Anolis sagrei: one gene and its partner. Each later gene encodes a partner of the first gene's protein in a complex. Links are inferred from orthologs where the notes say so. Each region holds a gene or a part of one and is shown in the gene's direction. Other genes may lie near its edges. The genes, in order: ERC1 and PPFIBP1.

The links.
Region 2: ERC1 (region 1) and PPFIBP1 share a complex: the UniProt entries of both Homo sapiens proteins name them as parts of the cortical microtubule stabilization complex. The link is inferred for Anolis sagrei from reciprocal best matches to the Homo sapiens genes ERC1 and PPFIBP1.

What each region holds. Positions count from the first base shown.
Region 1 is NC_090025.1:178,592,510-178,608,017, forward strand, and holds the start of ERC1 (ELKS/Rab6-interacting/CAST family member 1), read left to right. Parts: upstream 1-7,520; 5' UTR 7,521-7,687; intron 7,688-15,508. UniProt on the Homo sapiens protein: Regulatory subunit of the IKK complex. Probably recruits IkappaBalpha/NFKBIA to the complex. May be involved in the organization of the cytomatrix at the nerve terminals active zone (CAZ) which regulates neurotransmitter release.
Region 2 is NC_090025.1:89,610,123-89,625,349, forward strand, and holds the start of PPFIBP1 (liprin-beta-1), read left to right. Parts: upstream 1-6,833; 5' UTR 6,834-7,005; intron 7,006-15,227. UniProt on the Homo sapiens protein: May regulate the disassembly of focal adhesions. Did not bind receptor-like tyrosine phosphatases type 2A.

The sequences.
Region 1 (15,508 bases):
TCAGTGCAATTAAAACCCATACCTTGGGAAGTTGGACTTGTCCACAGTAGTCCATACTGATGTTACATCCCGTTTAGACTACTGCAATGCGCTTTATGTGGGGTTGCCTTCAAGGACTGTTCAAAAGCTGCAAATAGTCCAACGCGCTGCAACCATATTGTTAACTGGGGGGTCACACAGGAGGCATATAACCCCCCTGCTGCGGCAACTCCATTGGCTGCCTATTAGCTACCGAGCACGATTCAAAGTGCTGACTTTAGCCTATAAAGCTTTAAAAAGCTTCGGTCCAAATTACTTGTCCGAACATATCTCCCCCTCTGAACCCGCTCGTAGATTGAGATCTCCTGGGAAGCTGCTGCTCTTGACCCCACCGGCCTCACAGGGCCTTCTCAGTGGTGGCCCCACGGCCGTGGAACTCCCTCCTGAGTGAGATCAGGTCAGCCCCCTCCCTCTTGACCTTTAGGAGACAGCTATATACCTGACAGCTATATGCCAAGTGTTCAGCCCATCATAGGAATACTTAAAGTGAAAGTTGAAAGTGCAATGCCCCAGAACTGTTTACGGATTAACGGCTATGTCTTTGTGTGATGTGTGATCTTATTTTATGTGATGTGTTCAATAATGTTTAATCAGGGGAGGATCAATTTTGATGTTTTATAGTGTTTCTTATCAATGGCATTGAATTGTGACCAACACTGTGAACCGCTCTGAGTTCCCTTAGGGGTTGAGAAGGGCGGTATACAAATATCACAAATAAATAAAATAAATAATCTAAATTACTTAGAAATTATAAATTATTTGCATTCACCATTGATAATCTAAAGAAGAGAGAATAGCATTTCTGTCAACTCAGAATATGTATCATTCAGTAACAGAGAACCTGCTGTTTTGAAACTGCTTGAATGTAATTCTGTTGTACAAGTTATCAGACACTTTTGCTAAAACCTCAGAGAATGATAAGAAACATTAACTTACTGATGTAATCAATGTATTTTTAGAGCACTGCCACACAACAGCTGCTCATTTTCATGTAGCTGATCAAGACTATTGCTTCCCCGAACAAAAGGGAAAGCAGTTACTGGAAGCTGCCTCCATTTGCTAACAAAAGTATAAATTGAAAGGATTACACTAGATACCAAAGAAGAAGAAAGCTTATCAACAGGACTGGCAAGGAAAAAAAGTTCAAAGTGTTTACCCCTGTCCTCAAATTTTATTTTAGATTAAGGACAAAAGAAAACAACACACAATTAGAATATTGTTATTTGATTTAAATAAATAGAAAAATGTTAGCATTTTAATGTTCAGTTCCATTCCTAATGATTTCAAACATGAAAGCTGCATTTTTGATTCACACCGAACCCATGTTCATGTAGAATGCATTTATTATTATTATTATTATTATTATTTTGCATATTTCTACCCCGCCTTTCTCAACCCCCGAGGGGGGACTCAGGGCAGCTTACAAAAGGCACAATTCAATGCCTACACAAACAATAAAAATAAAACATATATAAACAGCAATTAAAACAATTATAAACAATTAAAACAATCAATTATACATCACAATCAATAAAATATTTCTTGTTTAATTAAAACAAGTAGTAATTATGATTACTATAAATTTATTAGTTTAATTAACTTTACATTTATTAATATACCAGTAACTCATTTGCAGGTTCCAAAACTTGTCCGCTTTGCATAGTCATTGGCAGCAAAGCATGGTAGCGCATATAAAATTTTACAAGTGGGTTGTGGCCACATTTATATAGAGTCTATTAAACCTGAATTGTTTCTTACATGTATTTTTGCTTTTTTATTCTTATGTAACATATTTTCTTAATTAAGAATTATAAACATATCTCTTAAACAAGTGCTAAGATGAGAAACCAGAAAGATCTGGCAAATAAGGCCTCCGTTGATGATTTTACACACACGCAAATTCCGAAGCTCCTTGAATAATTACTTGGGCCATTTCCCAGAAGTAATAAAAGCTGTTTGCAGAATATTTATGATGAAGGGACTATGATATCCGTAATTACACTTGCTTCCCTTTTACTCATTCTTTCAGTAACCACTAGTCTGATGGGAAATATGGTACTCTTTAAAGCAGTTGTCATTAGATGCATTACTTAGGAGAGGAATACAGCACTATTTTAAATGAAGGCCTTATGAAAGTCATTAATTGAAATTATGGTTTCACTGAAGCTTTTCCCTCTCATTTTTCTCATAGCTCAGAACTGAAGTCGTCTTAGGCCATACGCAAGACTTTACCACACAGGTTGTGAATCTTTTAGGGAAACACAACTTGTGACATTATCACACCAGGGCTTTAGTGCGGACTGCCCCGCATTTCTATCACCTGCAGAATTCTGGGAAATGTAGTTTAGGGTGGAGCCTTTTGGATTCTCAGCTACAGTGGTCCTCACCTTCCCAAACTACATTTCCCAGAATTCTGCAGGTGGCAGAAATGCCGGGTTGCCCGCTTTAAAGACCTGGTGTGATAATATGGTTTGTCTTGCCAATTTGCTGCTTGTGGGACACCTGAATCTTGATAATCTACATTTCTTGCCTGGTTGAGTGTTACAGAATATATAACAGCTATCTAGGATTTTTCTTTGGCTGCAAAAGAATTAAGGTCACAGTCAATTTAGAACTGATTAACTACCAAGAAAAGAAGGCATAATTTAAGTATTCAGTTTAAACTAAGTTTTATTTTGTAATGCATAATTTTCTGAACAAATATAGGCATCCCTCACTTTTTAATTGTCTTCTCTTTCAAACCTTTTCAGTAATAACTGGAATTTATTAATTTACAGTGTGGTTCACTTTTTTGGTCACATGGAAAATTAATGAGTTTAGGTTACCTATAATTCAAAAAGTTCAAAGGAACAGAGGTGTGTGTGTGTGGGGGGGGGGTCTTTCCTGGGATAATCCTCCTTTTTGTGAAACACTCTCCTGCTACCTAGGAAATAGTCTGAAATAGGCTGGAGCCACTTTCCACTGCTTTTTGGGGAACTGCCTATCAGGTAAAGGCAAAGTTGCTGCTATTGTTTAATACTCAGATGGTGCAGCATGATTCACTGTGCGTCCATCCACAGTTGTTTGTGATGGGCCCAGCTGCTATACGGGATTTCACTCTGGAGTATAAAGAAAAATGGAGTAGGTCCCTCATTGGAAATACATTCCTTGGTCACATCTACAGACTACATGTGAAACCAGCAGAGATGGAAGCAGTTTTTGGTGTGCGGATGTAGAAAATCCTAATATTGCTTCAAGGCCTAAGTGGTGCTTATCAAATTGATTCCAGAATCTGCAATGTCTGCAGCTTGACAACTGGGGAGAATCTAAGATTTTTTAAAATTCGGCCCTCCCTAATTGCATATGTGCAGACTGCCAAAGAACTTCACAAGTGCACATTATGAAAGAGCGAGTTAAAAATTACGCCCACACGTGCTGACACACATTATGGGCTATATTTCAGAGTATCCTGCAACTTTATCTCAGTTTAAAGCCCTTAAAGTGCACTGCAGGGCTTAATCGTGGTGTGCATCATATAAACACTGAGCTGTCAGGCTGCCTTTGAAGTGCATTCAAAGATTAGTTTGAATGTGCCCCATAGGGCTTCCTGGAGGGGAAGCTGTACTTGGAAAGATTTGCTGGGGATGCCAGTCATTACATGTCATTTTCCTTGCCTAATGCTGTCCAGTAACTGTGGCTACTACTGCACTTAAAACTGAACACAAAAGATGTCACTTTGTTTGACTCTCTTGCAACCATGTCCTGCTTTCATTTTAACAATTTCCCTTTGGGAAGGACCAGCACAGTGTTGTGGTTTGGGCTCTGGACTACTGGGTCCAAATCCCAGCTCAATAAAACGCATTGGATGACCTTGGGCAACCTTCTCTCTCAGCCTCAGAGGAAGGCCATCGCAAACCTTTCTGCACTAACACTGCCGACAATATGCTGTGGAGTTTGCTTTAGAGTTATGACAAAGCTGGAAGCTCTGCAAGGTTTGCTGCTGCCAATACCACATGTATCCCTTTATAACTTTTACGGCTTGACTGAATAAAAGGCACATGTGGAAAATGTTAAGGCTCAGGGTGCCTTCACAGCACCCAATTATAGCGCTATGACCCCACTGTAACTGTCATGGGGTGCATCTACACTGTGGAATTAATGCAGTCTGACACCACTTTAATGCTATGGCACCTTGGGATTTGTAGTCTGGTGTGGTATCAGTCCCCTTTGGCAAAGAAGACTAATGTCATTGCAAAATGACAACTCCCATGATTCCATAACGTGGTTGTTCCAGTGTGCCTTCCCAGAATAGGAAACTCCTAGCATTATGTCCCAACACACTTTATCAGAGATCTAGGATATCTGCATGCCCATCCCCCTCCAAAACACTCCACCTGGTCATGCCCAGCACTTTTAATTTTAATTATTACATTTGGCACTGCCATTGTTTTTAATTGTGTCATTGTGTGTTGTCAATGTTATTGCTTTGTTTTCTGAGTTATTTTGCTGTCTGTTGTTGCTGTTGTTTTTACTATTGTATTTGGGCTCGGTCTCTTGTAAGCCACACCGAGTCCTTCGGGAGATGGTAGCGGGGTACAAATAAAGGATTATTATTATTATTATTATTATTATTATTATTATTATAACATAGAGTCATGGCAGTTAAAGTGGTGTCAAACTACACTTATGGCTGCATCCTACAGAATCCTGTGATGATGATGATAAAGATAGAACTGCAAAGACTCTGGCACAAGCCAGTAAAGGTGGTCCCAGTGATGATCAGCACACTGGGTGCCTAAAGACCTTGGCCTGCATTTAAAAACAATCAGGACTGACAGAATTACCAGCTGTCAGCTGCAAAAGGTCACCCAACTTGGATCTGCACACATTATTTGCTGATACATCACACTGTCCTAGACACTTGGGAAGTGTCTGGTGTGTTATCAAATACAAAAACCAGCACAGTGATCTTGTTTGCTGTGTACTAATCTTGTCGTGTATCAAATAATAACAACAACAATAATAATAATAATAACAACAATGCAATGACACTAGAGCTCCCTGACTGGGAATTCAAAGTGGCCCTTCCGAAATTAGAGGTCCTAAGATGGAACCGTGGCAGTTAAATGCGATGACATAGTTTTAACTTTATAACAATAATAATACTTTATTTATAACCCACACTATCTCAAGGAGCTTTGAAGCTTGAAAGGGCCCCATGTTGGAAATGACAACTTTCTTCAAGCCTTCTCTAATAATGTATTGTCGAAGGCTTTCATGGCTGGAATCACTCAGTTCTTGTGGGTTTTTTCGGGCTATATGGCCATGTTCTAGAGGCATTTCTCCTGACGTTTCGCCTGCATCTATGGCTCACCTCTGAGGATGCTTGCCATAGATGCAGGCAAAACGTCAGGAGAAATGCCTCTAGAACATGGCCATATAGCCCGAAAAAACCCCACAAGAACTGAGCTTCTCTAATAATGTTTATCTATGATCCTGTTGCTTATTGTTTCCTGTATATATGTTCTGGTGTGCAGCTTCCTTTACTCTCTAGTTCCTTAGAAGACTTCAGACGTCGGATCACACACTTGCATGCTGTTTTGCTGTAACAGATGTCCTGGCTCCAGATGGCAAAGAGAATTATCTCAATCATATCTGAAACTGGACTGATAAGTTGTGTAGCTGTGTATGCTGAACATATGAAGGCCGTAAGTAAACCAACTATGTTATTTTTTATCCAAGTCTACTTCATTTTTGTCTCTTGAGTTCATGATATAAACAAGTTGCTTTATGGGACAGTATATATGTATATATATACACTAGGCAATGGTTTCAGTTGTTAGACTGAATAACCTGTTACCTCTGATCTGTTAGGAAAACAGAGATCTGCCAGTGCATAAAAAAGCAGTGCTTCAGAAGTGTTTTTCAGTGTCCTTTTTATGCACTGGCAAATCTCTGTTTTCCTAACAGATCAGAGGTAACAGGTTATTCAGTCTAACAACTGAAACCATTGCCTAGTATAATTACACCTGGTTGTATATCACAAGAGAAGATTCTACTCTAAAGAGTTTTTGGCTCTTCTGGGAATGGTCATGCTTTCCTTAAAAAGTTTTAATCTCCAAAAGGTTATGAATGCCATTTTCCAAAAGCCCAAGCCTTTCCCCACTGAATTCGAGCCTAAATGTAGGTGTAATGTCCTCTTCTCCGTTACCTGAGCGGGAGAGACGGGCTGAGAGAACGGGGAGGGAACCCTCGCTGCCTCCTTCTTTTGAAAGCCTTAGTCAGAGATGACGGGTACGGCGAGCTAGATTGGACAAACTTCCCGCGGGTGCTCACCGACGCTTGCGCAGAAACGTCTCCTCGCCCTCCAATGGGAAAGGGGGGGAAGATGGCATAGGAACCCGAGACGTGTCAGGAGGCCGAGAAAGGCGGGAAGACGCCTCCTATTGGTCAGAGCGGACCAATGAGGGCGCTTCTGAAAAAATGATTGGCAGGCTCAGTGGATGAGGAATAGAAGGGGGGGAGAAGGAAAGGATACGTCAGCCGAAACGTGGAGGTAGGTGAATAGCATAAGTCTGGAGTGAAGCGGTCGAGCGGTGGGAGGGAGGGAGGGAGGGAGAGCGGAGGAGGAGGGAGGAAAGAAAGGGGGAGGAGCTTCGAGCGCGAGACGCGTGCCTGGGCCAGGCTCGCGCCGAAGGGGGCGGGGCTACGGTCGGTCTCTCGGGCCGAAGGAAGGGAGGAGGAGGAGGAGGAGGAGGGGGGCGGGGCCTGGCTCTTGGAGGGAGGAAGGGAAGAAAAGGGGAGGAGCTTCGAGCGGGAGGCGCGCGCCTGGGCCAGGCACGCGCCGAATAGAGGAGAGAGGAAGGGGAGGGGGAGGAGGAAGGTAAAAAAGAGGGAGGAGCTTCGCGTAGGAGGCGTGTGCCTGGGCCAGGCTCGCGCCGAAGAGGGGCGGGGCTACGGCCGGTCTCTCGCGCCGAAGGGAGGGAGGGAGAAGGGGGCCTGGCTCGAGGAGGGAGGGAGGAAAGGGGAGGAGCTTCGAGCGAAAGTCGCGCGGCTTGGCCAGGCTCGCGCCGAAGGGAGGAGGGGGCGGGGCCTGGCTCAGGGAGGGAGAGAGGTAAGGAAGGGGGAGGAGCTTCGAGCTGCAGGCGCGCGCCTGGGCCAGGCTCGCGCCGAAGGGGGGCGGGGCTACGGTCGGTCTCTCGCACCGAAGGGAGGGAGGAGGAGGAGGGGGCGGGGCCTGGCTCGTGGAGGGAGGGAGGAAGGGAAGAAAAGGGGAGGGGCTTCGAGCGGGAGGCGCGCGCCTGGCTCAGGCTCGCGCCGAACGGGGGCGGGGCTACGGTCGGTCTCTCGCACCGAAGGAAGGGAGGGAGGAGGGGGCGGGGCCTGGCTCGTGGAGGAAGGGAAGAAAGGGGGAGGGGCTTCGAGCGGGAGGCGCGCGCCTGGGCCGAAGGGGGGCGGGGCTACGGTCGGTCTCTCGCGCCGACGGAAGGAAGGCAGGGAAGGAGGAGGAGGAGGGGGCGGGGCCTGGCTGGTCTCGCGCCGCCGCCGGGGGCCAGGGCGCGAGCGGCTCTCTCTCTCTGAGGTAAAAGGAGGAGCCTCTCCGCCGCTCGGATCGAAAGGAAGGGAAGCCGCGCCTGCTTGGAGAGCTACAGCTGGCCGGGGGCAGGAGGTAGGCTGTTAGCCGCTGGGCCTTCTGTGTGGCTTCGAAGCTGAGGCAAGGGGAAGGGAAGGGGGTCGGGCGGGGCCTTGCCTGGCCAGCTGGAGCCAGGCCCTCTCCTGCCCCAAGGCCTCCCTCCCTCTCTCTCTCTCCATGGAGGCCACACTCAAGGGGGAGTCCTCTTAATATCGCCTTTCCTTGAAGGGGAGCCCTTCTCTTCTCCTCCCCCCTTCCTTTCCTCATAATCTCTCTGCCTCTTCCTTTCCCTGCGCCCCACCCGGTTGCCAGGCATGGCTTCCTGGAATACATCATCTACCTGCCTCTTTTCCTCGGCTCTTCTCCCCCCCTCTCTGTTTTCACAAAAAGCCATTTTGCTTCAGATAGATATTCTGGCGCTCCATCCTCCCTCCTTCTCCAAAGCCTACTCCTCGTTTTAGAAACCATTATTGAGACACAATACTTTTAGGGGCACAAACCTGTTTTACTGGGGTTTTGTTGTTGTTTTTTATAGTCTAATCATTCTCAATTCTGGGAAACCATGGGAGCTTTCTGCCTGCCGCTAACAATCAATTGGTGTGAGAATATGCCTTGCTTTTCATACATTAAGGCAGGTATGAAATGTGTCAGGAGGCCGAGAAAGGCGGGACGATGCCTCCTATTGGTCAGAGACAGGGCCTTTTCTGTGGTGGCCCCTCGGCTATGGAATTCCCTCCCAAATGAAATTAGATCTGCCCCCTCTCTCCTGACCTTTAGGAAGCTAGTGGTACCTGGCTGTGCAACAAAGCTTTTGTGGAACGATGTCTCACACCGGCAATCAACTAATGGTACTTTTTTTTTTTGGTCATGTCAGGAGTGACTTGAGAAACTGCAAGTTGCTTCTGGTGTGAGAGAATTGGCCGTCTGCAAGGACGTTGCCCAGGGGACGCCCGGATGAATTGATGTTTTTATCATCCTTGTGGGAGGCTTCTCTCATGCCCCCACATGAGGAGCTGGAGCTGATAGAGGGAGCTCATCCGCCTCTCCCCAGATTCGAACCTAATGGTACTGATCACAATATATGGACTGGACATACGGACTGAGTTGGACACGATTTTATCTTTGCGAAAGGCTTTTATGTAATTTATGTAATATGTAATTGGTAACTTAATGTTGTGTATCATGTTTTAGATTTTCAGTTTTAGCATTGAATCATTGCTGTTAGGCGGTCCGAGTCCCTCTGCAGAGGTAGAGAAGATCGGGATATAATTTTTTTAAATAAATAAATAAGGGCAAACTTGGTCCCTCCAGGTGTTTTGGACTTCAACTCCCACCATTCCTAACAGCCTCCCTGAGAGGGAAAAGGAAGGAGCCTGAGGCTATTAGGAATGGTTCGAGTTGAAGTCCAAAACACCTGGAGGGATCAAGTTTGCCCATGCCTGCTCTAGCTACATCATCACAATAGAGAATGAATTCACTTTAAATCCGATTTCTGCCTCCTGCAGAATTCTGGAGTTTGTAGTTTAGTAAGGCTGTTAAAGGTGCCTCCTTAAACTACAAACCCCAGAATTCTGCAGGAGGCACCATCTGGATTTAAAGTGGAGTGACTTTGGGGCATATGAATGTTCACATCTGAGAAGTTGCTGTGTTGAGTTTAGCTTCAATAAATGTTCCTCCCATACCTTACAAATTAGAGAGACGATTGGCCAACACTAACGTTATGAAGTTCAATAGTGACAAATGCAAGATGCTCCACTTAGGAAGAAAAAAATGAAATGTAAAGATACAGAATGGGGGTTACCTGGCTCGAAAGAGCAGTACGTGTGAAAAAGATCTTAGAGTCCTCGTGAATAACATGAGCCAACAATGTCATGCGGCGGCAAAAAAAAGCCAAAGGGATTTTGGCCTGTAAAATAGGAGTATAGTGTCTAGATCCAGGGAAAAGTCATGCTACCCCTCTATTCTGCCTTGGTTAGACCACACCTGGAATACTGTGTCCAATTCCAGAGATGTTGACAAGCTGGAATGTGTCCAGGGGAGGGTGATTAAAATGATCAGGGATCTGGAGAACAGGCCTTATGAAGAGCTGCTTAAAGAGCTGGTCATGTTTAGCCTGCAGAAGAGGAGGCTGAGAGGAGACATCATGGTCATGTACAAATATGTGAGAGGAAGTCATGGTGAGGAGGGAGCAAGCTTGTTTTCTGCTGCCCTGGAGACTAGGACATGGAACAATGGCTTCAAGCTACTGGAAAGGAGATTCCACATGAACATTAGGAAGAACTTCGGAACAGTGAGAGTTGTTCAGCAGTGGAACTCTCTGCCTTGGAGTGTGGTGGAGGCTACTTCTTTGGAAGCTTTTAAGCATATGGATGGCCATCTGTCGGGTGCTTTGAATGCGATTTTCCAGCTCCTTGGCAGGGGTTGGACTGGAAGGCCCATGAGGTCTCTTTCAACTCTGTGATTCTATGAAATTGGCACATGGATGACAAGCATGTAGGAAGCAGTCTTGCTGGTATGGAGGGGAGCATTTACTGATTAGATATTCTTTGAGATAGTGGATAGGGCGAGGAAGAATGCTGTGCAATGGTTTTATCTTTCATAATTCCGTTTTGTCCTTAATTCTGATTGGATTATGAAACTGCCTTGTTCTGGTAATTCTTTCTAATGGAATGGGGTGGCCGTCATGCTGTGAAACTAACTGAAATATTAATTTGCAGCCTTGGATTTTGACAGTCAGCTTTGGTAATTTCTAGGATTTTTTTTTTAATCTCAGGGTAGTAACCTTGGGGAAAGTGCTGTGGTGAGGCCTTGAACTATTGCTAGCTAGAGTGCATAATTCCCCAACTGGGTGCACTGGGCTGTATCATGCTTTCAAAAATACGTATTCCTAGTTGCAGAAAGATATTATTTTCATCTCCATTCTCAACCCATCCTCAGTCAAAAATTGGTCTTGGGTTTAATTCAGTTTTGTATAGTTTAGACTCCCACAATTCCCAATAGCCGGTAGGAATTGCTGTAAGGTCGCCCTGAGTCCCCTTATAGGGTGAGAGGGGCAGGATACAAGTATGTGATATAAATAAGTCCAAAACACTTGGAGGGCCCAAGTTTGGCTGTGCCTGGTTTAGATGGAGCAAAAAGGGAAAAAAAACAACTAAAATGATCTCAATTATGTATTTTAAATAATTTATATCATGTTTTGATGCAGTCTCTTTCCATATTGGTTTGCAATAGGTAAATTGTTTCATATAGTATGATCCCTTTATCCACAGATTCAGTATTTAATATTTAGTATTGCCCTCCTAGTTCTCTGGTCAGATTCGATTATTTCCTTTTGGCCCAAGTATAGTCAAAATATATGCTTCATTATCCACAGTTTCAGTTGCCCACAGGGTTGATGGCCTTATTCCCATCAGATACAAAGATCATATAGTACTTAATGAAAACTTGTATCATGCACAGTTGATCCTGTGCTTCTAAATTCCTTACATCTCACTTGGGAGGGCTTCTGTTCCAGGACTCATTTACCGTTCCTTTAGCCACTCCTCTCTGATTCATTATGCTGTGCTTATTCCTGAAAGTCATTCCTTGATTATGCCTTCCTCTACTCTGATTACATGATTCTTCATTAATTGTCCAGCACCGCAGATCTGACTTGAAGATTTGAATTCTTCAGATGTGCTATATGACCAAAATCTTTAGAGCATATGTCTCTAATGTCAACATAATTTTAGAACATATATTTAATTTTATTGTATACATCTTGAACAGTTTTCCTGTTCTATTAATGAATTGGTAGTGTGCAGCAAACCTTTATTTCTAGCAAAAGAATGATGCATGTTAAATTTATAATATATAAGTGACACATACAAAAGGAAAAAAACGATTTGAAGGAAAGAATGTTAGAGCAGTTAGGGAAAAGTGCTGAGCTTTACGTTTTAAAAAGTATTGCTCTTTTTTTTTGTATTAGCTGTGTCCATGCTGTGCATGGACATTTTTAGGAAGGGTGGTCGTATTTGTAGTCCATCATATCTGGGCACCAGGTTTGGGGAATCTTATTTATGGAGTTGTGAAACCTGGAATTGTGATGTTAGAACAGACAGTACAGCAGATGCTGTTAAAATAATGAAGTAAGAAATAGCTAGATTAAGAGAATGAAATAAGAGCATTACAAAACAAAAGAATCCTGTATGTTTAGTAAAATGTAAAGAATTGTAGTGTTATATCATTATTTGTGCAGACAATAAGCTATCCAGTAATTACTTTATCAACATTATAAAGTGATTGATTCCTATCACTAAGTGAAATTCTTCAACTTGAGTGCAATATATAAATCTTAACTTTCAGTTTCCAGGACAGATACTAGAAAGTGCTGCTTGACCTCCAAAGTTCCCCATTTTTTAAAGTTGCTCTCTTTTTTCACATATGTTGTGTCTGAAATGGTTTGAGAGAGTCTTGTGGAAGAAAGCACAATTTTCTTAGTGTCTTTAGTTTCCGGTAATTCAGGATAAGGTTCCCTTAGAACTGGTTACAATAGGATGATGGTGCAATAGAATGGAAAGGCTGTCTTGCCATTGCATGTAAGAGGCTCCTGGGTACTGGTGAATGTGTCTTCAGCAGTTAGCATTACCAGTTTTTCCACTGTATGTGGTGAGAAAAAGTGTGCCTTCAAGTCACTTCTGACTTATGGCAAATCTCAGGCAAACCCATCATGGGATGTTCTTGGTAAGATTTGTTCAGGGCACTTTTGCCAATACCATCACTATATCTTTTTAATTGTTCACTAGTTTAATAGATGGTGAGAATGCTGTGAAATTCCTTTGTGTGGATTTCAGCACAGCATTTGATAAGATCCCTCATAATATTTTTGTTCGCTACTAACAAAACAAGAATTAGATGGAGAGAATATGACATAGCTCAGTAATTAGTTGGAAAATTGAGTTGTCACTAGTGGCCGTCCTTCATATTTTCAGATCTTAAAATGAGGTGCTGTAGGGCCAATGCTCTTCAATATTTTTAATCAATGATTTAGATGTTGGGGTAGAGGAAACCATTACTAGATTTTTAGATAATCATCTTTCTTGGGTACCACAGTCAGTTCTGGGTGCTTTATTTTAAGAATAATATACAGTAGACAAGTCAGACCAGGTTCAGAGAAGAGCAAAAAGGATGATAAGAGTCAGGGAGAACTAAACATCCAGGAAAAAGTTGAAGTACTTGGACTTGTTTGGCTTGATTTTACTGGAGAGTGATATGATTGTACCCTTTGAATACCAGAAGGGCTGCTACAAAGAAGAGGATGTTAACTTGCTCTCTGGTGCCTAAGATATTATAATTTTTATAAATAAATATAAAGGCCACATAATTGGGTAAGTGATGGGTCCATGGAGTTTGCTCACTGACAAAACCAGTGTGCGCATTAGAATTCTGTCTGCTGCACCATAACCATTTCTTATGTTGTTTTTTAATACTGTATATGTAGGAGTAGTTGTTTTAATGCAGAATGAACATGTAACAATGGCTTATCACTTTCTAGTGTAGCATTCATTTTTTTTCTTTTTGGTAAACTTTTGAATATTTCTTCATACTTAACAAAATATTTACTACTGATTTAAATACTATTTTGTTACAAAGCAGAACAAAACATTAGCAGAAACTTGATCTTTTATTAGTAAGATCAGATGAGATCAGTGAATTTAGCATTTATTGCTTAAATGTAAGATCATTAAATAGGATCAGTTGAAAAGAGCTTTGTGAGAAAATTGATGATGGGAGCCTAAAATTATTCCAGTAATACTTTTAAAATCACTAAATTGGGAAGCCTTTAATGTTTTTTGAAGTGTTTGTAATGTAACTGTCAATAGCGATATCTTACGAAAATTTCTGGCCAGCTTTGTGAAGTAGAGTTACAATATTCTCGCTTTAGAACAGGAGTGGGTAAAGCCCAGCCTTGGAACCACGCATGATCCATCACTTTTACACATTTCTCTGATTCCCTTTTTCTGCTCCCCTCAACTGTTCTTGCTTAAAGCCTTCAAGAGTAGCAATTCATCTTTTAAAGAAGGTTGAGGGGTGCTCTGTACTATTTTACATCTTTTTTTTTTTTTCCAAAAAGGCTTCTTGGAGGCAGAAGTTTGCTGTCACTAGAGGGTCCCTGGAGCAGAAAGCTATCTGAACCCATTTTAATTTAAGACTTCTGATTTAGAAAGTAACTTAATTTCTTTTATACAGGCAGTTAAACTTACAAATGACTCATAGTTAAGAACGAGGGTGGGACAACAGGGAGTTAGAGAAATCTACTCCTGAAAGGAAGTAGGGAAAATACACTCCCAAAAGAGGGAAATTCACTCCTGAAAGAGTTATAATGGGAAAAGGTATCTCCACTAAAGCTTTATCACCAATCCTTGTTTCCACAAGCCAAATATTTCAAAATACAATTATTGCAGGACCAGAAAGGGAGGAAAAAATCTACAGGGGTGTTAACTCTTCCCTGTGCTATCCAAAGCTATGTATTTGACTGGAGTTACACTTAAAAATGTACCTGTTCCGACACACACACATTCAACTTAAGAACAAACCTACAGAACCTATCTTGTTCGTAACTTGGCGACTGCCTGTATATCTCTTAGTAAGATGTTGGCATTTTGATAATGAACATTTAGATTTTTCAGTTTGCACATCTTTCATTAAATGTTTTTTTTCTTAGCATTTGTCACATATTTTCCACTTTTATTTTAAAATTATATTAGGATAGCAATGAAACAAAATGGCAGAGTTGTGCTGCCTCATCATATCTAGCATATTTGCTCAAAAAGAACGGCATAATTTCTTGTTACTTTTTGTCAGAAAGATTGCCATAACTATTGGTGTGCCTCATTCTAATTATGGATTATAATAATATAATAACTTTGTTTTTATACCTTGCTTCCATCTCCCCAAAGATTCAGGGCAGCTTACATGAGGTCAAGCCCAACAATACAATTAAAACATTAAAATGTAAAGCAACAATATAAATCAAAGCAAAATAAGAACAACAACATTATAACAAAATATAAAATAATGATCAAACCAACTACCAATAGCAAAGTTTTTAGGTTAAGGCCTCAAAAACTTGAATTGCAATTCTGAGCAGCCTTAGCCAATATGGCAATTGTGAAGAAATGATGGGATTTGCAGACTTGACTAAATGTTTGTGTCATAAGCCTTGTAATTATATTATTCATATTGTTTGTTTCCTATGAATTCATACCTTCCATACATTAATGGTTGGCATTTTTTTTGCTGTGTTAGTGTCTTACATTTTTGTTTGCATATTGCTTTGCATGGCTGTTTTGTAGGCATATTCATCCATTACACAACACAATTTGATTTCTCCACCCACAGAAATCCGTTTTTTCACTAGTGAGTAAGAACCAAGAATGCCTCTGGAAAGATTCAAGTGACAGCACTACTTTGAACATGACTTGGCTGATTGTGGTCAAGCACAAGTTGACAGTAGTATAATTAAACTAGCACTTTTGTACATATCCTGAGAACAAATGAGTATGTGCCTGTTCCATGGAGTCAGAAAAATTGTTGTCCAGGTTCATGTTATTGTTAGCGCATGATGATACAGTTTCAGACATTTTGTTGAAAGCAAATGTGGACTTAGCTGCAATCAGGAAGCCTCTAAAAATATTTGAATGAATGTTGACAACAAGCCTGGTTATATTATGTGAGACATGCCACCTTGAGAAGATGGTTTCAGAATACTGAAATATTTCTAGCTTTTTTCAGACATTGTTTTAGCAAGCTATACAAGAGCACTATAAATATACATGTATACTGGGAGTATGCTCTAGGAGCCACCTATTGAATTTC
Region 2 (15,227 bases), about 89 Mb from region 1:
CAGACTTGCAAATGATTCATAGTTAAGAACAAGGGTGATGAAGTCAAAATTTAGAATTCTTAGGACTGCAGATACCGAGAGTCTGTGCCTGATGAGGTCAACTAACCACCAATATTCCTGAAATAAGTGAAGACTCAGCAGTTGAGCGGCTGACTGGGAATGGAGAGCGGCGTGGTGCTGGTAGGGGCCTCGGTGGGGGTTTTCCGGTTGCTGAACGCCAGGCTCAAGTGGCTGGTGCCCTCCCCAGCCAAGGGGAAACCCTTGGAAGTGGCGGAACCTCTGGACCTCGCTGGCCCTCTGATGAAGAGTCCTTCAAGGGGTTCTCCAAGAGTGAAATGAGTAAGGAGGAGGAAGGAGATACAGATGGGAATAGAGGGACTAAGAGGATTACTCGAGAGCATCAGAGAAAGAAGATCCGGGACATACTTACTGCTCCCACAGAGGAAGAGGATTTTATGGGTTTTTCTGGGAATGATGGGTCTGGGAGTGATGGGGATGAAGAGGAACCATTGGATTGGACCAAAGTACAGGAGGTTCAGAATGTGTATACTCAACCAACGTCCAGTGACACTTTTGCAGGGTTTTCTGGTGGCGGGGATTGGCAATCTGGTGATACTGTGGAATCATAGGGAGACCTAAGTCTTGACAAGAGGTGGAAGAGTTGGAGGGATGGGCATTGGTGCTCAGCTGTGGAGGCTAAGCCAGCTGAGAGTGATGAGGATGGGGTGGAGCTGTAAAGATGGAATGATGAGCTGTAAGATAAATGTAGGCATTGGAATGATAGAACTTTGCAGTAGGCAAAGAGTTGGTTTCGTGCCTTGGGTCTTGTCGCTGCCACTTTCCTGTTGGGCTTGGGTCCTGGATCTGCAGGTTGCTGCCTTGCTTCGTGTACCGACCGGCTTGGATTCTCGTAAGTGTGGATTTCCCCTCTTCTTGACTTCGGACTGTTTTTGGCGATGACACTGCCTTGAGGACTTCGGAATCTTCAACTGGGATTTCTTCGACTTTGGACTGCATTTGGACGACAGCTTCTCTTCACAGCGCTTTGTTTGTTTATTTCTTTTGAACTGTGTGATTTTGGTGTGTTTTGGAAGAACTCTTGTTTAATCCGGGTTTTTTGCCAGTTTAATCCAGATTATTGACAAAATTTGTTTTACAAGCTAGAAATTGCTACAAACTTTGAGTTTTGACCAGAGGCACTGAAGCAAGTGTCTCTGAGTCATGTTTGCTTTGCTTTAATAAACTATTGTTTTGGATATACTCCTGTGTCTAGCTCTTTAAGGCATCTGGGAAGGGATTCAATGTACAGCAAAGAATATCAAAATGTATAAGCATAAATGTATTGTGAAATCCAACAAATTTTATACAGTAAAAGTCACATTTGTTAACATTGTCTAAGTTTGTATATGATCAGAGTAAATAGAGACTTATTTATTTATTTATTTATTTATGATATTTCTATCCCACCTTTCTCGAACCCAAAGGTGACTCAAGGAGGCAAACAACCAGGCAGCAATTTGATGCCTAGTAATATACAATTAAAACAACATTTAAGCAGAATTAAAATACATTCAATAAAATCTTTAAAAACATTCATTGTTAGTTTCATTGTCCAAAAATCATCGTCTGAGCCTTTCCAATATTCCAATGTTCACTTTTGTCTAATTTCATGTTTGACTGTTGCATTAGATTCCGAAGGCTTGTTCAAATAGCCACATTTTCACTTTTTTTCCAGAAGGTCAAAAAGGAGGGGACTGGTGTAATATCCTTGGGGAGGGCATTCCGCAACTGAAGGGCCACCACTGAGAAGGCCCTGTCTCTCGTCCCAGTTGTTCCTGTGAAGAAGGCAAGACCGTGAGCAGAGCCTCCCCAGACAATCTTAAACTCTTAGATGGTTCATAGGGAGAGATATGTTCAGACAGGTAAGCTGGGCTGGAAAGTTTAGAGCTTTATAGGCTAAAACCAGCACTTTGAATCGTGCCAGGTAGCAAACCGGCAGCCGCTCCCGTGAGCAATCTGGCTGCAATCTGGCTGCAATCTGAATGCAGCTAAAATGAGACCTCTCTCCCTTTGCCCTTATTTCACCTAAGAATTTGCATTGAAGCATCACATGAACTCTATCTTTAATATTTTTATTACTTTATTTTATTGAACTATATGAATTAGAAGGCAGATCAGCATGAACTCTAATTACTTAGACGATCCCTCATTGTCAGAGTAGGATTGTCTTCCAAGATCGGTGTACTAGCGGTGGGTATGTAGGTGACTGTGGAGCCCTATTCTTGATCTGCATGTTCTCCTGCAGTGAGGGCATTGGTTTCCAGGTGGAAGGCGGTCCTGATCAGGGTTGGCTTGACGCTCCTTCCTCTTGGCACATTTCTCTCTTTCACCCTCCTCTTCAAATTCTACAGCACTGCTGGTCACAGCTGACCTCTAGCTGGAGCGCTCAAGGGCCAGGGCTTAACCTCTTGAGCTATCTGAGCCATTCCAGATACTCCTTCCACACCCTATGTGGGAAACAGGGACAAGACATAATCTGTTGGACAAGGAATCTTCATGGATACCAGTGGGAGGCCATCTGCTTGCCACCCTGAACTTCCTCTTTGGGGATCTCAGCTGTCCGCTGGATAAAGGTTCAGGAAGAAACTCTGATTACACTCTCATCTTCACTTGACATTTCTGGGATCTTTTCTTTATCTTCTCAGCATGGGAGGATGTCTGGAGATCCACTGCTCATTGTCCTTACATCCAGGACCCAGTATCTGCATAATCCCATCATTTATCTTTTTGGATTCTCATTGTCTTCAGCATTCCATTGCTATACAACCAGGTTGGATACAACCCCTTGGAGATCACCTCCAGTAACCACCTCCATTGGCCCATTGGGAGCCCCAGGGCTTCCCCGCATCACTGCCACCTGCACCAAGTTAATTTATACAATTACAATGCATAAAAACCACAAACAAAGTTAAAAACTTGGCATTATGCTAAATTTCCGTTGACCACTTCTAGTGCCTCTGATGTCACTGTGAGAAGGTCCTCCATTGTGCATGTGGCAGGGCACAGACTGCATTGTAGTAATGCAGGTTTGTTCTTCTCCACATGTGCATGTCATGGACTCCACTTTGTAGCCCCATTTCTTAAGATTGGCTCTGCATCTTGTGGTATCAGCGCGCAGCCTGCTCAGTGCCTTTCAAGTCGCCCAGTCTTCTGTGTGCCCAGGGGGGAGTTTCTCATTCAGTCTCAGCCATTGATTGAGGTTCCAAGTTTTAGCCTGCTACTTTTGCACTCTCACTTGCTGAGGTGTTCCTAAAAGTATCTCTGTAGTTCTTAGAAAACTATTTATTGATTTAAGACGTTGGTATGCTGGCTGATATCCAAACAGAAGATGGGCTGAGAATGTCCTTTCTTTACTAGTTGCTATTTCAGGCAAATATCAAGTGGTGCAATAGCGGCTAAACAACGTAATTTCTCCAACGGCATAGGGGGTAGACATCTGTGATAATGTGGCATGTCTCATTAAGAGCCACATCCACTGCTTTAACGTGGTGAGATGTATTCCACACTGGACACGCCTATTCAGCTGCAGAGTAGCCAATCTCAAGTGCAGTGATAATATAATACTTTAAATTTTCTAGATGCCTTTTCTAGATGTCCTAGTCATCCGTAAACCAGATCAACAGTTGGGTCACACCGTCTACAGAAAACCCACACACACAGATTGATATCTACATAAAAACTCCAACCATCACCCAAGTCAAAAAAGAAGCACCATTAAAGCCTTGGCAGACCGTGCAAAAAGAATCTGTGAACCCCACCTCCTCCAAGATGAACTGAACCACCTAAACTGGGCTCTACAGGCCAATGGATACTCCACCTCAGACATCAGAAGAGCTGCAAGACCAAGAACAAGCCACGAGAGCAAAGATGAAGATCCACCCAGAGAAAAAGTGTTCCTGCCATACATCAAGGGAACCACTGACCGCATAGGGAAACTGATGAGGAAACACAACATACAAACAATCTACAGACCCACCAAGAAAATCCAACAAATGCTACATTCAGCAAAGGATGAGAGGGATCCTCTCTACCGTATTCCATGCAGCTGTGGACAAGTCTACATAGGGACCACCAAACGCAGCGCCCAAACACGAATCAAGGAACATGAAAGGCACTGCAGACTACTTCAACCAGAGAAGTCAGCCATAGCAGAGCACCTGATGAACCAGCCTGGACACAGCATATTATTTGAGAACATAGAAGTGCTGGATCACTCCAACAACCACCATGTCAGACTACACAGAGAAGCCATTGAAATCCACAAGCATGTGGACAATTTCAACAGAAAGGAGGAGACCTGAAAATGAACAAAATCTGGCTACCAGTATTAAAAAACTCTAAAATTACAACAGCAAAACAGCAGAGAGGAAACAACCAGGCACATCTTAACACCTCTCAACAAAAGATTTCCCCAGACTCAGCCAGGCCTTCAAATGCTAATGAAGGTGGTCAGTGGAAACATTCACACCTAGCTCCAGCAGAGGAGAGCTCTTTGCCCCACCCCAGTCATTCCACAGATATATAAACCCATTTTCCTAATTCCAACAGACCTCACTACCTCTGAGGATGCTTGTCATAGATGTAGGCGAAACGTCAGGAAACAATGCCTCTTTTATTTATTGTGTCATCAGCAACCATTGTATCACAATTCTAACAGAGCAAAACAAACATACAGATTAAAAAGAAAAAGGAAAAAAAAACACACAGATTTTGCAAATTTAGTATTTGGTTAAATGTCCTTTGACCAGTATCTGGCCACTTGGAGTGCCTCTGGGGTTGCCGCAAGAAGGTCCTCCATTGTGCATGTGGCAGGGCTCAGGGTGCATTGCAGCAGGTGGTCAGTGGTTTGCTCTTCTCCGCACTCGCATGCCGAGGATTCCACCCTGTAGCCCCATTTCTTAAGATTGGCTCTGCATCTCGTGGTGCCAGAGCGCAATCTGTTCAGCGCCTTCCAAGTCGCCCAGTCTTCTGAGTGCCCAGGGGGGAGTCTCTCATCTGGTATCAGCCATGAATTGAGGTGCTGGGTTTGGGCCTGCCACTTTTGGACTCTCGCTTGCTGGGGTGTTCCAGCGAGTGTCTCTGTACATCTAAGAAAACTATGTCTTGATTTAAGTCGTTGATGTGCTGGCTGATACCCAAACAGGGGATGGGCTGGAGATGTCTCTGCCTTGGTCCTTTCACTATTGGCTGCTACTTCCCGGCGGATGTCAGGTGGTGCAATACCGGCTAAGCAGTGTAATTTCTCCAGTGGTGTGGGGCGCAGACACCCTGTGATAATGCGGGATGTCTCATTAAGAGCCACATCTACTGTTTTAGTGTGGTGAGATGTGTTCCACACTGGGCATGCATACTCAGCAGCAGAGTAGCATAGCGCAAGGGCAGATGTCTTCACTGTGTCTGGTTGTGATCCCCAGGTTGTGCCAGTCAGCTTTCGTATGATGTTGTTTCTAGCGCACACTTTTTGTTTGATGTTCAGGCAGTGCTTCTTGTAGGTCAGAGCACGGTCCAAAGTGGCTCCCAGGTATTTGGGTGTGCTGCAATGCTCCAGTGGGATTCTTTCCCAGGTAATCCTCAGAACTCGGGATGCTTGTCTGTTCTTAAGGTGAAAGGCGCATGTCTGTGTTTTAGATGGATTAGGGATCAGTTGGTTTTCCCTGTAATAGGCAGTAAGAGCACCTAGAGCAGGGGTCCTCAAACTTTTTAAACAGAGGGCCAGGCCACACTCCCTCAAACTGTTGGAGGGCCGGATTCTAATTTGAAAAAAAATGTATGGATTCCTATGCACACAGCACATATCTTATTTGTAGTGCAAAAAATACTTTAAAGCAATACAATAATTAAAATGAAGTACAATTTTAACAAATATAAACTTATTAATAATTCAATGGGAAGAGTGGGCCTGCTTTGGCTAATGAGATAGAATTGTTGTTGTGTGCTTTCAAGTAATTTCAGACTTAGATTGACCCTGAGCGAGGGCCGGGTAAATGACCTTGGAGGGCCGCATCCGGCCCCCGGGCCTTAGTTTGAGGACCCCTGACCTAGAGCTTCGGAGAGCTTCTGTTCAACCATCTCAAAGCTCCCTGCTTGAGCAGTAATGGCACGATCATCAGCATAGATGAAACTCTCTGTCCCTTCTGGCAGTGGCTGGTCATTTGTGTAGATGTTGAACAATGCCTCTAGAACATGGCCATATAGCCTGGAAAAACCCACAAGAACCTACTTTAAATTTGTTTCTAACTGGAACTTCCGGTTGTTTTCTCCATGTTTGGAGGATGTTTCATGGCATGAAACACGAGTCTTCAGAGGGAGTCTTCCTGTGTTTACTCATCCAGATTCACACTGCAGGGCTGGTATTTTCCAGGGCTGGGAAGAAAGCTCTATTGCCAAGGCACTCTTTCACTGCCAAGTTGGCAGGGAGACCAAGTTGGGAGCGTGAAAGCCTTGTTTTTCCAATATGACACCGCCTGATAAGGCAAAGCTGAGAAAAATTAATGGACAAGGCCAAAATTAGACTCCTCCCCTTTGGTCATAGTAGCTCCTTTGATGAATCTTCCCACATCACGGACACCCCACAAATCCTCTTTTAGAAAAACCCTCCCCCGCCTTTTCCACCAGCCCTGGAATGTACTACAACGGGGCGGAGGGGGGGGGGAGAAAGAAAGAGTACTCCCTCCTCGAGTGACTCCCTCTTACTCCAATCAAAACCAGGGGTTTTACGAAATCCTCCAATCTCTTTAGCCGCTCCCTTTGGGGGGCGGGGCGAACTTCGGGGAGGCGCCAGACGTTCAGCTAGGCGCTTCAGTCTTTGCTTGGAAGCCTGACATGGTCGGAAGAGGAGAGGCGAAGCGCGTCTAGAGAAAGGCAAAAGCAGGACCAGGGATGGTTTGGTGAAACCGAAGAAGGAGCGAGGCCTAGAGGCACAACTTTCCCCAAAGTTCGGTTTGGGTAAGTGACTTTTCTGAAGAGGGAAAGCAACGCATTGTTTATCCAGGAGCTGCTTTTCTTTTAGGCTCTTGATCCGGTTGATCTTACAACAGGAAGTGCAAAGTTGAGACTCTTGCTGGAGCTTGGGAAAAAAGGAGAGAGAGAGAGAATGGGAAAGCCTTTTTCAGACTGACTGTAACTTTGGGGTGCGTCTATATTGTTGGATTTGATGAGCTTTGGCACCACTTTAGCTGCTGTGGGGTCACAGGAGTTGGAGTTTGGGTGAGGCACCATCACCCTTAAGCAAAGAAGGCTTCAGACTTTACAAAACTATACCTCCCAGAATGTCACGGCAGTTTAAGTGAGATCAAACTGCATTGATTTTATAGTGTAGATACATCGCAACCTTGGAGAATTGTGGAGGAATTAGTCAGAGGTAAGGAGCACATTTCAGAGACCTGGACAGTTTGTTTGAATTATTGTGTGTGCATAGATGATAATTTTTAAAAAGAAGCATATATACAGGCAGATCGGAATATGAGAAACTAAGACTAGAAAGGGTGAGTTTGGGAATAAGTGAGAAAATGCAATGCTTGGGATCATAAGTGTTTTTGATTTAGGATATTTTTCTATTTTGGAATAGCTGTATTTATAGATTATACTTATAGATTTATTTATTTATTGTATCAGTAGCAACCAGACAATTGTATTACATTTTAAACACATTTTTAACAAACAGACAAAACACAGAATTTGCAAGCTTGGTAGTTGATTAAATGTCCTTTGACCACTTGGAGTGCCTCTGGTGTTGCCGCAAGAAGGTCCTCCATTGTGCATGTGGCAGGGCTCAGGTTGCATTGCAGCAGGTGGTCTGTGGTTTGCTCTTCTCCACACTCGCATGTCGTGGATTCCACTTTGTAGCCCCATTTCTTGAGGTTGGCTCTGCATCTCGTGGTGCCGAAGCACAGTCTGTTCAGCGCCTTCCAAGTCGCCCAGTTTTCTTGTGCCCAGGGGGGAGTCTCTCATTTGGTATCGACCATTGATTGAGGTTCTGGATTTGAGCCTGCCATTTTTGGACTCTCACTTGCTGAGGTGTTCCAGTGAGTGTCTCTGTAGATCTTAGAAACTATTTCTTGATTTAAGTTGTTGACGTGCTGGCTGATACCCAAACAGGGGATTAGCTGGAGATTGGTCCTTTCACTATTGGCTGCTACTTCCCGGCGGATGTCAGGTGGTGCAATACTGGCCAAACAGTGTAATTTCTCTAGTGGTGTAGGGCGCAGACACCCCGTGATAATGCGGCATGTCTCATTAAGAACCACTTATAGATGTATTTATACATGTTCTGTGGGGGGCATCTACATTGGAGAATGAATGCGGTTTGACACCTCCTTAAGTGTCATGGCTCAATGCTCTGGAATGTTGGGATTTGTAGTCTAGCATTATTTGGCAGAGGAGGTTTGAGCTTTATCAGTGACAATTCCCAGGATTCCAGAGCATTGAGCCACAGCAGTTAAAGTGGAGTCAAACTGCATTAATTCCATAGTGTAGATGCATCCATAGATACCTCATACACACGGCCTGAAGGTAATTTAATACACCATCTTTTTCATGACTTAGTGTAGAGCCTTCCAAACATTCATGTGTCAGCTACAATGTATAGGTTGTAGCTGTGTTGCATGAACATAAGGAGAAATCTTTGAGTCTTTGTGAAATAGCAATAAATCATATATTTATTTATATATATTTATGAATGGAACAAACTAATTTGATGGGACATAGCAATAATTAAGCAGTTTGGCCAGAAATGGAAAAGAAAAACACAGTTGTATATGATAGATTTGCGTGAAGCCTAAAGGAGTGCATCGACAACAAATTGGATAGGATAGTATAGAACAGGGGTCCTCAAACTTTTTAAACAAAGGGCCCGGTCACAGTCCCTCAAACTGTTGGAGGGCCAGATTATAATTTGAAAAACATGCACCAATTCCTATGCACATTGCACATATCTTATTTGTAGTGCAAAAAGCACGTAAAAACAATACAATAATTAAAATGAAGAACAATTTCAACAAATATAAAATTATTAGTATTTCAATGGGAAGTGTGAGCCTGCTTTTGGCTGATGAGCTAGGATTGTTGTTATTGTTGTGCGCTTTCAAGTAGTTTCACACTTAGGTTGACCATGAGCTAGGGCCGGGTAATTGACCTTGGAGGGCCGCATCCGTCCCCCGGGCCTTAGTTTGAGGACCCCTGGTATAGAATATTAACAGGTTTCCATGAAATATGTTGTGTCCCCATACATAATCCAGAGGAGGGTGACTAAAATGATTAAGGGCCTGGAGAATAAGCCCTATGAGGAGCGTCTCAAAGAACTGGGCATGTTTAGCTTGCAGAAGCGAAGACATGATAGCCTTGTATAAATATGTGAGGGGAAGTCATATGGAGGAGGGAGCAAGCGTGTTTTCTGCTTCCCTGGCAACTGGGACTTAAAACAATGGCTTCAAACTACAGGAAAGGAGATTCCACCTGAACATTAGAAAGAACTTCCTAACTCTGAAGCTGTTCAGCAGTGGAACTCTCTGCTCCGGAGTGTGGTAGAGGCTCCTTCCTTGGAGACTTTTAAACAGATTGGACGGCCATGTGTCGGGGGTGCTTTGAATGCGATTTATTTCAGTTTTATTTATTTCAATTTTTACCATTGTCATTTTTGCATATAAATGTTTAATACCATTTTAAATATCATATTCAATACTAGGTTTTAACTTTGCTTTTGACAGTGTTTCTTAATACCTGAATGTATATGTTCCTATTCTGATATTTGTACATTTTTTGTGCTGGTTACTGACCATAATAAATAAATATCTATATGTAATATAAATATATAAGCTTTGGATTGCATAGGGAAGCATTAACACCCCTGTGATGTTTGTTTTGGTACCTGTGCAGCAAAGTTTACAAGATGTTACCTTACTTTCTGTCCCTGTGATAATTGGATCTTGAAAAAATTGGCTTGTTGTGGAAACAAGGATTGGTGATAAAGCTTCAGTGGAGATACCTTTCTCCCATAATTCTTTCAGTAGTGAATTTCCCATCCTGGGATAGATTTCTTTCATTTCATGTTGTCTCACCCCCTTTCTTAACTATGAATAATTTATAAGTCGCATATTTGTAACTCAGGAACTGTCTGTAGAAGGATGTACATTTCATGAACATTTCTGTGTCCATACTGTCTATATTCATGGTTTTCATTTTTAGGATGGGAGGGTATTTCAGTTGAGCTGCTGGGATGAGATAGTGTCTCCTCTTGTGGGCATCTCTTTGTATGTTTAATATTGTTATGTTTTCTGCTGCTTTTAAACCCTGCCAAATTTTGTCTGCTTCTGCCCTGGTGAATGCGTAAAAGCTCCAATGAACACATAGATCTTTATAGCTTTTCCTGCTTCTGAAACTAGACGCTTCCGTGTATTTGGACCAGACATCTGGCAGTGACTTATTCACAGGAGCAAAACAAACCCACCTTCTTTTGACCAGTGAATAAATACACTGGTAGGCACCATCTGAGAAAGAGTTGGGAGGAGATAAAGAATGATTGAAGCTCTGCTTTGAAGTTCAGCCCTGTTGGGATGCCAGTTTCCCTTGGTATCTTTAACCTCGGTTTGGAGACATATATGGGATAATGTTTTCATGCATGTGAGTGTGAATAATGGTGAAATTCGATGACATAGTACTTGCGTGGTTTGTACTCTTGGAATATGTTTTGGAGACTTTTTCTTGCCCTATGACACTGTGTGGGACTTATTAGTAAAGTCTTACACACTGAAAAAATGGAGGAAGAAATACTGGAAGAAAAATACAAATATATTTCATAAAGTTTCCCTTATATATCATTTTTATGGCCAGGAGTCCAAATGCATCTAAGGCAGTGGTTCTCAATCTGTGGATCCCCAGATGTTTTGGCCTACAACTCCCAGAAATCCTAGCTAGTTTACCAGCTGTTAGGATTTCTGGGAGTTGAAGGCCAAAACATCTGAGAACCCACAGGTTGGGAACCACTGCTCCAAGATTAAAAAACATCTATCATTCCATAGCATTGAGCCATGCTAGTTAAAGTGGTATCAAACTGCATTAATTCAACAGTGTAGAAGCAGTCTCAGTGTCTCTCTATATGTACTACTTTCTTAACTCTTAAAAATACCCCACCCACTAAAATGAATGGAAATAATCTGTCCTGATCCTCCTACTGAGTCTTGTTGCACTGGTTGATGGCCCACATTGTTGTCAGTCTCCCATTAGCTTAGAATTAGAATGGCACCGGAGTGCTATTTTGGGCAGTGTGTTGACTTTTCTCTAGGAACAACAGCAGCAACAAAAAGAGGTTTATTTCAAGGGGTTTATGTATAAGAGACAGGGACCAAAAGTTGTTGATGATGAAGTTTTTACACTTTGACTTTCTTTGGCTGAAAGCCTGAAGCTGCTTTTCAAAAACCAAATAAGCTGTTGCAACGTGCCCCTGTAGTTTGTGATCTTCATGAGAGGTTTTCCTTATTTTTAAGGATAACTTAGATCATTTTTATAAAACACTTAGCGAGAGAGACTTATTCAGCTTTATCTTGTGCTTTTAATCTTCAGACAAATGTTGATGTATTATGAACAGTCAGCATTATTAGTTCTTTTTCTTTGAGTCTTGTTCAAGGATTTGGCAGTAAAATATGTACTACAAACTGTTCGGAATGGAATATGTGGAAAAGTAGAAATTATTGGCAAAACAAGCATCTATTTTTTTTAACTCTGACGCAAAGCCACTGGAAGCAAACAAAAAAATCAGAATTATGGAATAGATCTGAAAGCAAGGAGAGTTGATGTATCTGAATGCAATATAATAAGTTCCTTACCAAGTGGGGTGGAACTTATTATATTGTATTCAGATACATCAACTCTCCTTGCTTTCAGATCTATTCCATAATTCTGATTTTTTTTGTTTGTTCCTTACCTAATAAGGAACAAACCTAATAAGTGGGATGGAGCCCCTGGTGGCGCAGTGGGTTAAACCCCTGAGCTGGCAGGACTGAAGACCGACAGGTCACAGGTTCGAATCCGGGGAGAGGTGGATGAGCTCCCTCTACCAGCTCCAGCTCCTCATGCGGGGACATGAGAGAAGCCTTCCACAAGGATGATAAAAACATCAAATCATCCAGGCGTCCCCTGGGCAACGTCCTTGCAGATGGCCAATTCTCTCACACCAGGAGTCACTCCTGACACGACCAAAAAAAAAAAAAACCCAAGTGGGATGAGCTGCAGTGACTTTCTAAGTGTTTTTGGATATTACCATTGATCACGTTGGCTAATGCTGGTGGGAATCGTAGGCCAGGGCTCTTGAGTATTGTAGACCAACATTTTTGAAGAGACAGAGCAGTTTCCCAGATTCTGGATTTCCAGAATCAGAGGATCACTTTGGGGATCACTTTTCTGGATGATCAAGGAAGACCAAACAGAGTGAAGCTGTGCAAGTGAAATCAGTGCTGCTTTTCAAAATAAAGGTGCATGTTTAACTGACCCGCAAGTTGTGCCTCCTTTTCTTTCTTTTTTTGCCCAAATGAATATTTTTCAGCAGTGAGACATATGGAAAGCAAAGCATTATACTTCAGGGTAATTTGCCATCAAAGAAAAACTGACCTTCCACACTTGGCCCTGTGTTGACCCATATCTTATAGTCAGGGATTTTTCTCTATTTTATAGTGAATTGCTTAATGTTTCTTTGTGCATGGAAACATATTGCAACCTCCCTCCAATAAAGAACCTTTTTCTCCATATCCACTGTTATGGGAATCCATTTCTGGCAAAGGGAATGCTGCAAGAAGTACAGTTGGGGTGATACGGTAATGGGAATGCTGCAAGGAGTAGTTAGCCCTCCATATTTGTGGGCGTCATTTTTGTAGATTTGATTATTTGTGGATTTGATTCAAATGTTCTCTCTACAAATTTTAAGTCATCCAGTATGTTTCTATGAACTTTTGGCAGAGTCATCCTGGAGGATGCAGAGATTCTTAGAGAGGTGTTGTCTCAAGGCAAAAAAACAAAACACACACATACACGAGTTAGGGGCAGAGTTAGGGTCACAAGAGTTAGGGGCAGAGTTGTAGTGGTTGTATGAAAGACGATTGTTGATGGTGGCAGGTGTTTTCAGCAAGAACTCCAGCAAATTAGTTGTCTCTTTAAATTAGTGGGGGAATTTTATATCCGTCCAGACATGTTGAGTTGCATTTCTCAGCATGCCTCACCATTGACTGTACTGGCTTGGCCTGATGGGAGTTGGAGTCCAATAGCATTTGGAAGTCTGCATGATTTCTGCCCCTACTCTAAATGAATGTATATGTTTGCTTGTGCTCTGAACCATATACACATCAGGGAAAGTAGCAGCTGCTTTGGGTGTCTCTAGCTTACAGCAATCACCAGGAGATTTTAGATATAGCATCCCTGAGGCATAAAAATAATGAGCTGATTTGATACAGTTAGCTTGGCAAGGATGCACCAGAATTTACAGGACATTTGTTGCAGAGCATCTCAGAAAGTGAGGAGCAAGAGAGGTTTGAGCAGCGTAAAGGATGGAAATTGACTGGATAGATTATTGACTTCAACCAGTTGGTTAGCCAGGACCTAAGGTATTTTCACACTACATAATTATAGTACTTTGTTGGTCATGGTCACAGTCTATGAAGTCTTGGGATTTGCAGTGTAGAAAGGATAAAAAGAGAAAATCGAAGCTCCCAGCTGTGTCTTTCCTCCCTCATAATGGGATATAGACTAGCATCTTTCCCGAAAGGAAGGACTCTGTTATCCCCCTCCTTCCCAGAAGATTGAGAGCAACTTTTTCCAAAACTAACATTTCTTCACTGGAAGAGAAGTGATACTTACTTTACTTGGACTGGGTTGTGGCACAGCTGTTTGGGAGACAGCTGCATTAAAATCACAACTGACCAAAAAGTCACGGGTTTGAAGCCAGCCCGGATCGGAGTAAGCTCCCGACCATTTGTCTAGCTTGCATCTGTCAAGTAGGAAATTTAGGTACCACTTATGTGGGGAGGCCTATTTAACTAATTTACAATGCCATAAAACTCTCCAGCAGTGTGCAAAAGAATGAGGAAGTACTCCATCAGTGTCACAAGTGGACGGTGAAGCAACAGCTCCTCTGGTGGCTGGAATTTGAAGCATGCCCTCATGAAGCTGGAGGATATGTGTGTCTGTCTAGACACACATACCTCTGTGTGTCTGTCTATATATGTTGTGTGTCTATGGAATTGAATGTTTGCCATGTATGTGTGTATTGTGATCCGCTCTGAGTCCCCTGCGGGGTGAGAAGGGCAGAATATAAATAATGTAAATAAGTACATAAATACATACTTAGGCAATCCCTTGTTCTCCAAGTATGATGGGCATTCCAAGTGTAGTGTCTTGGTGGTGGGTACATAGGTGACTGTGGAGCTCTATTCATGATCTGCATGTTCTTTCACAGTGAGGGATTGGTTTCCAGGTGGAAGGCGGTCCCAGTCAGTCTTGGCTTGATGTGTCTTCCTCTTGGCATGCTTCTCCCTTTCACCCTCCATTAAGGCCTCGTTGAATTCCATAGCACTGCCGGTTACAGCTCACCTCAAGTTAGGGCGTTCAAGGGCCAGGGCTTCCCAGTTCTCAGTGTCTATGCCACAGTTTTTAAGGTTAGCTTAAAGCCCATCTTTAAATCTCTTTTCCTGTCCACCAACATTCTGTTTTCCATTCTTGAGTTGGGAATATAGTAACTGCTTTGGGAGATGGGAGACAGTATTGGGTGTTCAGACACTGTCGCCAGTCCAGCAGAGTTGATGGCAAAGGAGCATCACTTCAATTCTGGTGGCCTTTGCTTCCTCCAGCACGCTGACATTTGTCCTCCTGTCTTCCCAAGAGATTTGCAGGATTTTTTTTTTGGAGGCAACATTGATAGAATCATTCCAGGAGTTGAGTGTGATGTCTGTAGGCAGTCCACGTTTTGCAGGCGTATAACAGGGATGGGAGGACAATGGCTTTATAAACAGGCACCTTGGTATCCATACAGATGTCCTGATCCTCAAACATTCTGTTTCATTTGGGAAAACGCTGTACTTGCAGAGCTCAGGCAGTGTTGTATTTTAGTGTCAATGTTGACATTTGTGGAGAGGTGGCTGCCAAAATAGCAGAAATGATCAACATTTTCTAATGTTACACCATTAAGA